Caenorhabditis elegans: one gene and its partner. The protein of the gene in region 2 purifies or fractionates together with the protein of the main gene of each other region. This does not show direct contact. Each region holds a gene or a part of one and is shown on either strand. Other genes may lie near its edges.

The links. The genes of interacting proteins can lie anywhere in the genome.
Region 1: the proteins of R11G1.1 (region 2) and xpc-1 fractionate together in Caenorhabditis elegans (co-fractionation; one large-scale study listed by BioGRID). This does not show direct contact.

The regions. Positions count from the first base shown.
Region 1 is NC_003282.8:1,989,269-1,996,927, reverse strand, and holds the start of xpc-1 (XPC (Xeroderma Pigmentosum group C) DNA repair gene homolog), read right to left. Parts: upstream 3,840-7,659; 5' UTR 3,838-3,839; coding exon 3,715-3,837; intron 3,281-3,714; coding exon 2,290-3,280; intron 468-2,289; coding exon 7-467; intron 1-6. Other genes in the region: Y76B12C.6 (TPR_REGION domain-containing protein), read right to left, coding at 4,702-4,755, 5,574-6,378, 7,462-7,659.
Region 2 is NC_003284.9:3,656,176-3,663,563, reverse strand, and holds the start of R11G1.1 (EGF-like domain-containing protein), read right to left. Parts: upstream 4,073-7,388; coding exon 4,003-4,072; intron 3,958-4,002; coding exon 3,835-3,957; intron 3,791-3,834; coding exon 3,665-3,790; intron 3,402-3,664; coding exon 3,288-3,401; intron 3,120-3,287; coding exon 1,431-3,119; intron 1,379-1,430; coding exon 1,281-1,378; intron 1,234-1,280; coding exon 1,077-1,233; intron 1,031-1,076; coding exon 862-1,030; intron 817-861; coding exon 651-816; intron 594-650; coding exon 387-593; intron 329-386; coding exon 197-328; intron 153-196; coding exon 1-152. Other genes in the region: R11G1.7 (Ovule protein), read right to left, coding at 6,360-6,427, 7,042-7,291.

The DNA.
Region 1 (7,659 bases), on a different chromosome or scaffold from region 2:
CAGCACCTTATGAGTATTCTCCCACATCTCTCGAATTTTTCGATTAATCTCCTGTCTCAAATAGATTGCCCACCAATCCTTCACAACTTCTTCTCCATCATCTCCTCCTCCACCTTCATGATCAATCGATACTTCAATATTATCATCAATAATCGGTGGTTGAAAATGCTCCATTTCTTCCCATTCATCTTCCGACGACGACGAATCTCCCGCCGTGTTTTTCTCGTCGTTTTTCTCCGATTTTTTCACATTTTTTTGAGATTTTTCAAATTCGACGGGATCCAGAACTGCTGCATCCAACAACGAGCGGCCCGCGAAATAGGCTTTTTTCATCATTTCGTGCAGTTTGTAGGCCTCGTCATACGTGATTTCTTCGATTTTTCCACGTGCTACGTAGGCGTGTGCCACGTGGCGATATTCAAGCATACGACGTTCACCTTTTGCCAATTTACGATCGGTTTCGTAGTCTGGAAATTTTGGAAAATTTTATTTTTTTTTGTGTGATTTTTTTTACAAAAAATCAAAAAATTTTAATTTTATTCTGAATTTTTCAAATTTTTATGATCAAAAAATTAAAAATCATAATTTTCCGATTTTTTTCATTAAAAATTCCGAAAAATTGACTTTTTTTGAGTTATTTTCAATTTTAAATTTGAAGAAGCCTTTTTCTCCGATTTTCAAAATTTTAACTTTTTAATTTTAACAATTTTAACAAAATTTTAACCCAAAAAATCTGATTTTCTCTGAAAAAAAATCGAAAATTTCGAAATTTTATGCTTTTCATGCTTTTTTATGCTTTTTTGTGAAAAGCATAAAATTTCGAGATTTTCGATTTTTTTTCAGAGAAAATCAGATTTTTTGGGTTAAAATTTTGTTAAAATTGTTAAAATAAAATTTTGAAAATCGGAGAAAAATCGGCTTCTTCAAATTTAAAATTGAAAATTTGCTCAAAAAAACGTCAATTTTTCGAAATTTTTAATGAAAAAAATCGGAAAATTATGATTTTTAATTTTTTGATCATAAAAATTTGAAAATTTAGTTTTTTTTTTTTTGGTTTTTTTTTTCAGAGAAAATCGCCAATTTTTAGCTTTATCTGTCAGAAGAGGCTGCTTGGCAGATCAGAAAATTTGGAAATTTTCACTTTTTTTTCGATTTTTCACCAAAAATTCGCAAAATCGAACCAAAAATGACCGGCTATTACTGAAAATTGAATTTTGTTATTTTTTTCTTAAAAAAATCAATTTTTTTAAAATTATTATTTTTCTTGAAAATAATTTAAAATTTTCGATTTTTCTGTTTCTTTTTTGGATTATTATTTTTTTATTTTTTAGCAAAAAAAATCGAAACTTTTTTTTTAGAAAATTAGAAATTTTACAGATTTTTCGGCTTTTTCCAAATTTTGAAATTTTTTTCCGGTAATTTAACATCAAAATCTTTAAAAAAAAAATTTTTTTTTTTGAAATCTATTTTTGATCCTAAGATTCCATACATTCTTTTTTAGAAATTTTTAAAAATATCGTGTTTTTTTTCTTTGTTACCGAGAAAAAAAGTTTAAAAATTCGTAAAATCTGCAGGCAAAATTTGGAATATTTGACACATTTTTTAGAGAATTTTTCTCCAGAAAACACCGATAAACGAAAAAAATTTTAAAAATTTTTTTCGGTAATTTTTTAAAATTTTTCTAAATTCGGACTAAAAATGACCGGAAATTATTGAAAATTAAAATTTTTCCGAAAAATTTCAATTTTTTCATCAAAAAATTGGACATTTTTCTAAAAAAAAAAATTAAAAATCTTTTTTTGGATTTTTTAAATCGAAAATTGGACAATTTTCAAAAAAAAATCCCTTTTTGGTACAATTTAAATTTTTTTTAAAATTTAAAACAAAAAGAAATCTCTTGAAAAAACAAAAAAATTTTTTTTTTCAAAAAATAAAATCGATTTTTCGAATTTTTCTTCCTGGAAATTTTTTCAAAAATTCGAAAAAAAAATCCAAAATAGGGGAAAAACTCATTTTTGTAACAAAAAATCGATAAAATATTGATTTTCACCAATTTTTTTGATTTTTTCTCAAAAAAATCCAGAATTTTTTCAAAAATTTGGCAAAAACAAAATTAAATAATTTGATTTTTCGCTTTTCGACGCTCGAAAGTTTTTTTTTGAAAAATATTCCAAAATTGGTAGAAATCTCTCATTTTTTTGCAGTATTTTTCCGACTTTTTGCAAAAAATAACTCGATAATATATTGATTTTCACACCAATTTTTCGATTTTTTCCACAAAATTTTCACCTTTCAAATTTTTCTTCCACGGCTGATCGGGTTTCTGTTTCTGAGCCATTCGAAGACTCGATTTTGCCGGCTTTTTCGCCGCGTTTTTGCTGCCTGGATTTCCAGTTTTTCTAGCGATCGATGCTTTGGAGCATTTTGGCCAGTGAAGGTCTTTTGTGGTGGCTCCGCCGCTTGACAACGTTGATTTTCTCTGAATTTTTCGTCGTTTTCTGGGCTCCGAAGGTCCTGGAATTGAAGGATCCTCCGATGCTTCAGAAGCTTCAGACTCATCGTCGGGGCTCTCCGAGCTGCTCTCAGATTCCGAAATTTTGAACGATTTTTCGCGTTTTTTCGCAATTTTTGAGCCAGTTTTCGGACGAATTTCAGTGTCCTCGTCTTCTGAAGAGGATTCAAGTTCGGAGCTCGATGAGCTCAACTCCAATTGATCATCACTTGGCACGTAGGACACTTTTTTGGCGGTTGTGACTGATCTACGTGGGCGGGAAATTCGATTTGGAGCATTTTGAGCCAATTTTGAGCCATTTTGAGCCGAAAAATCCGGTTTTTCGTCAGATTTTGAAGATTTTACGCCATTTTCAGCCCGAATTTCCGGATCATCTTCGATAATTGCAACTTTTGAGCCATTTGTAGTAGATTTTGGAACACTTTGAACCAAATTTTCCGATTTTTCATCGCTTTTCACCACCCTTGAGCCATTTTTCGAGGATTTTTTAGCCAAATTTCCTGGTTTTTCATCAATTTCCATGCGATTTTCTTCCAAAAAATTCGATGATTTTGAGCCATTTTCAGCAGAAATTCGCAAATTTTCATCGATTTTCACCAATTTTCGGCCGTTTTTCTTGGACTTTTGCACAACAATTTCAGCTTCTTCTTCGTTCTCCAACTCGAATCCCATCTCGTCGAGCTCCGCTTCGATCGGCGAACCTTGTTTTCGGCTCGGTTTTGTGGATTTTTTGGTGGTTTTTGGTGGCATTGGAGCAGTGGATGGGGCCTGAAAAAATTTGAATTATAAAGGAGTTCGGTAGAGCGCGATTGCATTTTATAGGAATTTCAGCTTTTCTCCGGCTGTAATACTGAATTTATAAAAATTTGGGTAAAAATTTATCGACTTTTGAATATTTTTAGGTCAAAAAATCACGAATTTATCGATTTTTAAAGATTTTTAGGTCAAAAAATTACAATTTTTTCGATTTTTTACTGTAAAAACTTAAAATTACAATTTTAATCGAAAAATGTGATGAAAACGAATTTTCATCCAAATGTTCTTAAGAATTCTTCGAAATTAATTATTTTTTTCTCATATTTTCGTACATTTTGGGGTCAAACATGGCCAAAGTTGCTATTTTTGGTTAGAAATTCGGCAAAATCGTCAAATTTTTTTCAAGATTTTCATGGATTTTCGCTGAAAAAATCCCCGCGGCGAACCTCGTTTTTCTTGGCTCCGCGAGCTCTTTTCACCGGTGGTTCCGATGGTTGAGGCTCCTCTCGAGCATTTAAATCAGACGTAGTTTGTTGTTGAAGACGTGAAGAACGTCTTCTGGTTTCCATTTCTGCAAGAAATTGGTGAAAAAAAATGATTTAAAATTTTTAAATTCACAAAAATCGATTTAAAAAAAGCCTTCAGATATAAGTGGATTTTCACCGAAAATTCAGGGGAAATCGCGAAAAATTTGAGCATAAATTCATGATAAGTTAGGAAAAAAAAATTTGTGGAAAAAATTTAAAATAATTTTGGAAAACCCGTTGAAATATTGGTGAATATGGAGAGCTGGGCGGCTGGGCTGGGGAAACAAAGTACATGAAAAACTGAAAGGGTAATGGTGGAAATATGGAGGGTATTCACATTTCTTAGTGGAAAATTTCAGAAAAAAATAAATACAGTACAAAATATGCGGTCGGCGGGAGATTTGAATATTTGAGTGAAAAATAGTCGTAATTTTCACGATTTTAAAGCAATTTTTGGTGCGAATTTCTTTGAAATTTTTCATTCAAAATTCTTGAATTTGAATGGAAAATTTTGCATTTTTTGCTTTTTTTTTGGCGAAATTTTTGAAAATCCATTTTTCTGGGCTGAAAACTCTCGAAATTGCTAATTTTTAGGTCAAAATGTTCAAATTTTTCAGATTTTCAGCTCAGAAATCCTTGAAAATGCTCATTTTGGGATTAAAAGCTCCAAACTTTGATTTTCTGAAATTTATCGAATTTTCGGTCAAAATCTTCAAATTTTTCCGATTTTCGGCTTAAAAGTATCTGAAAATGTTCATTTTTAGCTGAAATCGATCGATTTTATCGATTTTTAAATCAAAATCTTCGGATTTACATGATTTTTTGGGGAATTTTTTGTGTGTGGGTAAAGTGAAAAAAAGGGGGAAAAATTATGCACAAATATGTAGAAAGTAGATGTCAAAATGTTCATTGTGGTGGTCCATAACTTCCACTGGGCCCGGGGCCTCCAAATCCGAGATCCTGCAAAAAATGGGGGGTTTTTTAATGGAAAAATCAAAGAATTTTGAGAGTAAAATTTGAAATTTCCAGTGTAATTTTATGCAAAACAGAGCAAAATTCTGAATTTTAAAATGCATTAATTTTCCAATTTTCAGGGCGTTTTTTCTGGAAAATTTCAAAATTTTCTTATAAATCGTTGGTTTTTCTTTTTTTTTTTTAAATTTCAGGCCAAAAGTGCAAATTTCAGCGAAAATCGATAATTTTGGGGGGGGGGGGGGGGGTTTTTTTCAGCATAAAATTCAAAAATTTTGCCGTGTTCCGGAAAATTTGCAGCGCTAAATTTGAATTTTTAAGCTGAATTTGAAACATTTTACACATTTTTTTACTGTGTTTTTTTTTTCAGAAATTTAAGCTCAAAAATTCAAATTTTGCCTATTTTTCTGGAATTTTAGCGTCGTAAAATTCCTCTGAAATCCAACAACTTTTCAACTTTTTTTCCAAAATTTTTGTTTTTTATCTTAAATTTCAACCGAAATTCAAAAAATTTCGCCCAATTTTTCTGAAAACTTTCAGAATTTCTCGATTCTTTTTTTTTCAATAATTCCAACCAAAATCGCAAATTTTTGGGTTTAATTTCACAAAAAGTCAGCTATAAAAAACATTTTTCAGCTTAATTACAAAAATTTCAGGACTAAAACAATTTTTGCAGGTTTTTCACAAATTTTAGGGCAAAAATTCAAATTTTGGCCTTTTTCTGGAATTTGAGCTCTGAAATTCAAATTTTTAGCAGTTTTCCACAAATTTCCACAATTTTCTTTTCAAATTTCGGGCACACATACACTCCTCGCTCCAGTGGACATTCTCTTCCTCCGATTCTCCTCCGATTGTTGTTGCTGGTGTGAATCCGGTCGTTTTCTAACAGCCTGCTGCTGCTGCTGAGCTCCATGAATCCCACCAGGCGGTAGCGGGGGCACCGCGTCGAGCACATCTCGAGCCCGATCCAACTCCGAGAGGAGTCCAAGGCTTCCAAGACCATCACGGGCTCCACCACGTTTTGCCCATACTCCAAGTGAACTCTCAGTTTCAACTGGATTGATTGGAGGCACCAGTGGGAGGGTTGGAGGGCCCAGCCGAGGCGGCCCGGGGTCCAGTTCAGGGATCATCTGAGGAGCTGCTCCCGGAGCCCCAAAAGACTGCAAAATCGTCGCCAAATCAATTCCCTGAAGCTGAGGAGGAGCCGGCGGTGGAGCTGAAGCCTGCTGAACCGCTGCTGGAACAATTGGATCCAAAAAGAGCATAAATCCGGCGGTGCTCGGCGATGTCGTATGATCTACCTGATACTGTAGAACCTTGTAGCCAGTAGCATCCGCCGAATTGTGCTCAAAAGTCTTTGTGAGCAAGCCGATATACGTATCCAGTGACTGTTTTGGCTGATATTCTCCAGGTTGCCGGTGCTCTTCAGCCTGGGGAACCCGTAAAGCGTCGGCTGCTGCTGATCCTCCTGGCGGGACTCCGTACATATGGCCGACACGTGGCGAATAAGTGTTCCGACAATCGGCTGATTGTGGAAGCTCGAGCACTAGATCCTTATCGTGTGGAATTGCCATTGCACGCATAAAATCGGGGAATGCTTCTCTGAAAACTCTGGCACGGCGTTGTTGAGGGTCTTGGAATATGGGCACTGCAACTTTTTCCTCACGAGGGACGAGGAAAAGTGGTTCCTAGGCCATGGCCGAGGGGCCGACAAGTTTAAGCGGCCATTTATCTTGCTTTGTTTTCCGCCTGTTTTCTTTTATTTTTCACAGATTTTTCCCGTTTTTTCTTATTAAAAGTGATAAATAAATATTTTTTGCAGATGCTGAAACAATTTCCAAGTAAAAAATCATGTATTCAGTGGGCAAACAGCGGTGAAAGTGGGCATTGTAGTTTTGAGGTTTCCAAAATTCAACTTTTTCGGTGAAAAAGTCGAGATTTTCGCACAAAAAGTGAATTTTGAAAACCTCAAAACTCTCAAAATCAAAATCACCTCAAAATCAGGTAGTCTCAGCATTTAAGCAGCATATGTATCATGTTCCAGAAAAAGTTTAGGTTTTTTATTCCCGTAATCCATCATATTGCATTGACCACTTTCACCGCTGCTTGCCCACTTGCCCAGAATACATGATTTTTTTACTTGGAAATTGTTTTAGCATCTGCAAAAAATATTTATTTATCAGTTTTAATAAGAAAAAACGAAAAAAATCGATGAAAAACAAAAGAAAACAGGCGGAAAACAAAGCAAGATAAATGGCCGCTGAAACTTGTCGGCCCCTCGGCCATGGCCTAGAAACCACTTTTCCTCGTCCCTCGTGAGGAAAAAGTTGCAGTGTATCTTAAAGTCAATGGACGGCGAGATTATTGATTTTTTTAAACCAAAACTCGCCGCTGCGACATTGACAAGGCGGTCAAATTTCCAATTTTAACTAATTTTAGCTCATTTTTTGAGCCGTCATAACTTTTTTCCGAAAAGTTTTCAAGAAGTTTCATTATGAAATTCAGTGTTTTCAAACAATTTTGAGTCTAATAAGGCAATAAAAAAAATTCGACTACACCACCTTTAAGTGAAAGTGATAAATTTGTTGAAAATTCACCAAAAAAAAGTGATTTTTTGATGAATTTTCATGTTTTTAAACTGAAATTTTGTGATTTTTCTATCAAAAAAATCATCTCTCAATTATCACCCCCTACCTTTCCTGTTCCTCTTGATTTTTCGTCTGAAAAAAGTTGGTCAACGCATTGTTCATCATTGAATTAATATTTCGAATAAGTGTATCAACTGGTTGATCTCCAGCAATTGGCGGTAAATTTGTATTTGTATTCATTGCAAGTATTGCTGCATCCAAAATACGTGAAGCCGACATTTGTTCATTGGTTTTTGGTTTATTC
Region 2 (7,388 bases):
CCTCCTCCTTCTCGCCCATTCTCCTTTCCCGTCGTCTCTTCTAAATTGGTTGTTGATGCGCTCGTCGTGATTGGTACAGGAAGCGGCAGTGGTAAACTGGGAAGTTGAGGTGCGTTGTCATTTGCCGAGACAAGAGACACGGAGCTTGAATTCTAAAAATGGACAAGATTGACTTCAAGTGTTGATGTGAAAGTACCTTCTCAAGAATAGGAGTTTCGATAACGCCTACGGGTGTTGGAGGCTCCGAATTCGCTGTGTGCGTTGATATCTTTGCAAGGCTACTAACTTTCGGTAAAGACTCTGAATTGTGAATGGATGCAGTGGGATTCTGAAACATTGAACACATTCAAAAGGCTGAATGGATCATAAAACACATTGAACCTTACCTCGTTAACTTCTTCTATAACTTGACTCATGTCCGGAGGCCTTGAAACTTTTTTCCGCTTGAAATCTGCCAGAGCAAATGCACTCGCTACAGATGTAGATCCTTTGGCGCTGTGTTTCAGACTTTCAGCAAATATAGCTTTCATGTGAGGTAACTTTTCCCGATTTCCATCCATTTCCAAACTTTTCGCAGCTTTTTGACCCACAACCTGTTAAAATAAATTATAAGAGTTTTAGGAATTTCGAATTTGCGAAACTTGGCTCACCACAGTTTGCAAACCATCCGCGTTGGCAGGGTGAATCGCAATGTAACGACAACATCGTTTCCGACAGAGTGCATAACAAGCTATGCACGCTAGAAGGGACAAGAAGAAGGATCCCAGGAGAAAAATTAGCCAGACAATTAAACAGATTCCGAAAACCATCACGCAACTAAAAATTGATACATATTATTTTGCATGTAACACGTTTTCTTACTCTGATTCTTCAGGAAAACCTTCACACGACCTTCCATATCCATCCGAACTATCTGTTGTACCCTTTTTGCATTTACACGCATACCGCAAATTTTCATCATCTAGAATGCAATCCGAGTAAACATGACAATGATTGAACTCCGAATTGGAACACAGATCAGTGCCGAGTGCTGGAAATAATTTACATGATATGGTTTATAAGCTGTGCACACTCACCTTCTGCAGTCAGATTCAAGTTTCCAGGCTCCCCGAATGATCTTGTCGTTAACAATCGATCGATCTCTTGCAAAGTGCAGTCACTACATTGAACAATAGCAACTAATGCAGAATCATGTTCCGCCGAACGAATGCACGATTTATAAGATTGACCAATCTGCAAAAACTTCCAATATGAAAAATAATTGATACCCACAAATCTACCTTTTGATGTAAAATCCGCTGTTTTTGCTCAAGCGATGCCTTATCTGTATTACAAACTGTGTTAACCTTCACTTTGACAACCACCAATGAAAGAGTTTCTGAAATATTTTCAAGCAAAATTAATTAAAGCGATACAATTTTGAACAATACCTTCACATTGCCCGTTCCCAGTGTTTTTGAATTGGCCATTTGGACAATCACAAATTACCGATCCACCAGAATCAGACATTCTTCGGAGGCAGTCATCAACCTGTGGGTCACCTGTCTTCACTGTTGTTGTTGGAACACTTGAAGTCGATACCGATTCGAAGGTTGAACTGTTTTCGGTGACAATCGTTGAAGTACCACTAGATGGTGTTGGAGTCGTTTTCACTGTTGGACCAATGTGTATGACTTTATCTGATCCTGGTACAATTTGTCCTTCATGTTCTCCCAAATTTGTTTCATTTTCAATCTTCGTCGACTCATTATTATCGATTTCTTCAACAACCCCGTTTGGTCCAACATGAATAATTTTTGTTCGAGATGTAGCCTTCAAAGTGGTGGTTTTCGGTGTAAGATTTCTGTCTATCTGAGTTGTCTGAGCATTGTTTGTAGAAGGCGTCAGCAATGTTTTTTCTTCAATGAAACCTTCTGGAACTTTCGAAGGATGGGTAATATGGCTACCAGGTGTTGTGAAACCCCCTCCCGGTATTTCGAAACCAGAGTGAGGTGGTACTTCCGTTTGCACATACTTCTCAATTTCGGCTTGTGGGATCAGTGTTGGTAATGCACCATGAGGAGGATTTTGAGTTACGAAAGGTCTATGGGGTGACTGGGGAGTTGTGAAAAAACTTGGAATGGAGAGTGGTCTTGGTGTTGCGAAAGTTGGAAGAATGCGACCAGGAATTAATGGTATTAACGTGTCGGTACCGGATTTTTGTTCATCCGGTATTGTAACACCAGGATAAGGTTTTGTTTTTTCAGATTCCCATGGTCGGGTAACTGGGCGGAGGTCTACAGGTGGTACATTAGGAAACATGTCAAAAGGTCCTGGAGTTGTCATTGGAACACTGGGCCTAGTGAGCATGTCAAATGGATTCATTCCTGGTGGTTGCGATATTCCATCACCCGTGCCTCCTCCATACTCAAACTCTGATGGTAGATCTGGTTTTCTTGAAGTGACCGGTCGGCTGATTATAATTCCCGGTTTTATTGGTGGAATCTTTTCCGAACCCTCTTCTATAGTTGGATACGTAATCGGCGGAAGTGGGCCTTGATGGTGTGGGTCCGGTGTGGTAGTCACAATTGGAATTGGCCAGTTGTTTAGAGGTGAGGGCGCAGTGATGGGTGGCAAGTCTGGCCGTCCAGGAAAAATGAGCGGAGCCTGAGGAAACTGCGTCTGGCTAATTGATGGAATTGTTATAAGGCGAAATGTGTGAGATTGAGTGACAGCTTCTGTTGGAGGTACAGGTGTTGATGAATGTGTTGGAAAGAAGTCTCCTATTGGCTCATTTGGTTTGTGGAAGCCAGTTACTCGTGATATTTCGACACCGGATGGTTCAGGGAAGAAATCCCCAAGTTTTGATTCTTCACTTGGAAATACTGGGAAGTTACTCAACGGTGGTTTTGTATTTCCCAGCAGAGGAGATGTAATAAACGGATATTTTGGAGTAGTATAGTCTATCACAGGATTAGATGGCAAGGTGACGGTAGATGGTTTCGAGCACATTGAGCAACCTTCCACGTAGAGAGACGGGTGATCTTCCGGTGGTGGTGGTACTGGTTTTGGGAGATAGAGTCCGGATTGATTTCTGGCACATCTATAGGCGTGTTCAAGAGGCATCACATAGTTTTCGTCTGGAAAAACAAATTCTGATTTTGAACTCTCCAAATTTCCAGTTTAATCCACACAAGAATATTTCTTCAAACAATATTACAAACGTTAGTTCCAGAGAATAACACTACATACTATTGCGATCAAAAATTGTTTTTATCAATTTGCCAATTTTTTAAAAGTAAAAATACCTTCATCGCTGCCATCGTTACAATCCTTCTTCCCGTCTAACAACCATTCCCACAAAACACACTCTCCGTAACCTTTGCACGGAAATGACGTTTCATCCGCACATAGTTTTTCTTCTGAAAATTTAAAATTTCACTAACTTATTCCCGTATGTTTTTTCTCCCAACTATTGAGTATTAGCTGCAGACAAATGACAAAAATTCAGACAAAATAAAAATATTCTGAATTTTTAAATAATTGACATGCTCTATTAAAAACTGCCCAAAAAAGTTGGCAAACGAAATTCCATGGCAGTTTTCAATTGTTTAGCAGGAAGTTACTCCCTTCAAATGTCTAATATACTAATCGAGATTATTAGGTAAACCTAAAATGAACTCACTTGACGTAGAACACCATGGAAGTTGTTTTGATGAACCGTCACATTTAGGATAAACAATACATGGAAGTGCATCTTTGTAATCTGCACAATAAACTGGACCACAACTAACTTGACCGATGAAACACCCTAAACGTGAATTACCTTAAAATCATATTGCTTCATGTACTTACATTCATCGCTACCATCCATACAATCAGGTTTTCCATCTCGAAATTGAGAAATTGGAACACACTGACCTAACCCGCAATCATAGTCACCCAACATACAACGTCCTGGTACCCTCATTCGAATTGCTGAAAATTGGGACATGAAATTGAATTTTCTGAAGCTTCACCTACCATCATATGATAAAAACTGCGAAGAAGCAAAAATTGGAAAGACGACCAAATATAGACAGACGGTCAGCATGGAAAGACTGGAACTGGTTACATGTGTACTCTTGAGCAGACAACATCAGAATGTCTCACTCATCCAATTATGTTGATCTTTTCAATTGGGATCTGTAAGCGTTTGAAATTTTTCGAAACCTTTTTAAAATTTGCAGAAAAAAAATAAAATTTTTAACATCTCAAAAATTATTCGGATAAATATATATACTGGCATGATTGGGAGGCGGGTAATACGACAGGAAAAGTATAAGGAGCGATTAAAGTGCACATTGGAACAATTGGTTAGCAGTGTCCATTACATGAGCAATAATAGCTCTTTGGAATGCGTCAGTAACTATAGTCGGTGAGTTGAAACAAGAAAACACACGAAGATAGGCTGCGGGACAAGAAAAGAAAGCGAGCGCAACCTCCATTTCCGATCATTTTCCATCAATCTTGCTGAGTTCTTTCAAGTAAAGAACAAGTTTCGGGAATGAGTATAATTTTTTTTGGAAGAATGTAGATGGTATAAAAATAACTTTTAGTTGTTTTTACATTTCAAGGTGGAGCCAGTGGGGAAATTGTTGAAAACCACTCCGATCGTGCCAAAATGATCAAATATCATATTTAAAATTTTCAAACGTGTTTTGAATGCTTTCTTATAAAAACATTGTTTCAAAAGTGGTAATTACTTATTTTTGCAATGTTCTTGAAAGCGGTCGGAAAAAAATGTATCTTTGAAAATGTATTATCTAGTTATGTTTCAAGAATTGTAGGGATTCAAACATGCAGCAAAGCTATAGTTTTCTCAAAAAGTGGCATAAACTCAGTAATTGATAATAAAAAACAATGGTACAAAGTTATTAAAGTTTAATTAAACGCAAATAAATATCAAATTGTTAAATAATTGTAAAATCCCAATCTGACTATGAGAAGAGGTCAATTATGAACCATACAATATGAAATGCGGTAAATTTTATAAATTTTTTAATTTTTTAACAAGGAAAATATTTCAGAGGAGCTTTATAAACCAGAAAAAAAATTGAAAAATGAACAAATATACCTCTATTTTTGATAATTAGCCATTAACAATTCTTGATTAATTAAGAGAAAGTAATTTTTAAATGACCGTATTTTAAAGAAGTGATAGGGAGTTGAAAAAAAATTTAGTGAAGTGGTAAATACAGTACATATATTTTACGAACTTCCTAAATGGATGGACAAAGTAGAAATATCCAGAAATAGAGAGCTCAAACTATACTAAGAAAAAAATGAGCGCAAGGTCATTGTACTTGAAACAAACTATTAGTCAACACCAACAAAGAAACCATCTGAGCATGATTAACAAAGGAAAGATAACACATATGTGGTATTCGGCAAAAAAAGTATAGTTTTTGGTAAGTGGGCAGCAAAAGAATTGATGACCGCACGGGCGCTTGCCTTTCCTCCCACAGAGGTGCGCCTTTTATGCTCTTCCGTTTTGTGGTGGACCTTGCTTCTGACCACTCAGTCTACCTCCAATAACTCACTTGACCTACTCTTAAAACTTGCTTCATCTTTTTTTGCTACGTAACATTTAATAAATTACGTCAGTGAGCTATAAGAAATCAGTTTTCAGATCCAATAAATCTTATGACGGAGTTTTGTGCAGTTGTATTGCAACACTGGTTGACAAAAAGTATAGTCCGACATGAAAACTCAAAAAATGGCGATTCAAAAACTTAGCAACTTCCGGAGCAAGTTTGCATGCACACATATACATGAAATATTTTAAGAGAGTATAAAGTCTGAGTGGAAAGGTTTTTCTTACGGGGGTCGTGACAGGAAACGGATCCAACACCAAAAGTAACCAGAAACTTTTTTTAATTTTAGCTACTACTTTTTTATAACAAGTCTATATAGCAGTACAAGAATATAACATATTAATACATCCAAAAAAGAACTAAACATTGCTACATTGGAACCACTACGACTTGTGGCATAAGTAGCTGACCAAGAAGACGCAGTTGGATGCCAAAGGGAGAGTGTTCAAAAAGTAGTTGACAGCTCTTTTATTCCAGTCTCGGAGATCTGACCGCACGCTCGCGCTATTTTCTCCCTTGCGTCCTTGCTCTGACCACTCGTGGCCCCCAGGAAAATTACCCTGAATGTCCATTCAAAAACTCACCACCACAAGCAGCACCACCTCAACAAATTTTCGTGTGTATACATTTTGCTTTATTGTGTTTTGCGATTTCGTAAGATGCCAGGAACAAAAAAGTTGAATGCCGTCAGAAAAATTCATACAAAAAATGTGCAATTATACAATTAGTGTGATAAGAACTCCTTCAATGTCCACTTTGCTCCGACGAAGTTTCCCATTCAAGTGCTGAGAGGTCGTCAATTTCATGTGTAGCTGAAAAAAAGAGAAGTCAAAATCTGAAACAGATTTAGATCTTAAAAATTGAAAACAAAAATGTCGACAGTAAATTTGCTCAAAAAAATTAATGATCTGAACCTATAACCACTTCTTTCAGGTTTTTTTTTCTCGAAGAAATTGGACACTATTAGTTTCAGCACCGGCATTCAAACTGAAAGTGGAACTAGAAAAGTTTGGAAAAAAAATATCGGAAAAAACTGACGTTGTAATTTTGCTAAATTTTTACTTATCAGTTTCAAAGGCACACGCAGTTTTCCCGAGTGAGCCCTGTACGATTTAGCGATAGTGAGTAGCTAAAAGCGCGAAATTTTACAGATTTGTTTATTAAACACAAAAAAAAGTTGTTTATGAAATTTAAAATTTCAAACTGCACAGAGAGACAAAATATATGTATAATACCGAGTGTCACATTTCCGAACTTACATTTTCTTTAAATTTTGGAAAAGTCTTGGAGCTAGGATTATCCGAAAATCTGATATTTTTCGAATAATATTTCTTCTATACTACAATTCTCACATGTCTTAAATCAGATTACAGTTTGACTGAAATTTACTTTGACGTATCAGAGGTTCTGAAGCCAAACAACTCACCAAGTTTAACACATTTTTTAGTATTGAGTGTAACTTTTTCCACGGGCTTCACAGGATCATCAACATTTTTTTTAGCGTCAGTGTTCTTTGCTGCTTCAGAAATTCTTAATTGCTCCATTCGCTTTGCTGAAGCAATGAGCCTATCCGCAACGGTTTCACCACGAGATCCCTTTTTCTTGCGTTTCTCCTTAATCGCCTCCACATGTTCCGTCGTCTCCTCTTTTTGCTGTATCGATTTTGGACTGACCATGCTGAATACAAAATTTGAACTGTTACTTGAAATGTATTGGTCTATTTAGAGATAATATTTTTAGAGTTTTTTTTAAAGATAGATAAAGTTTAGATAA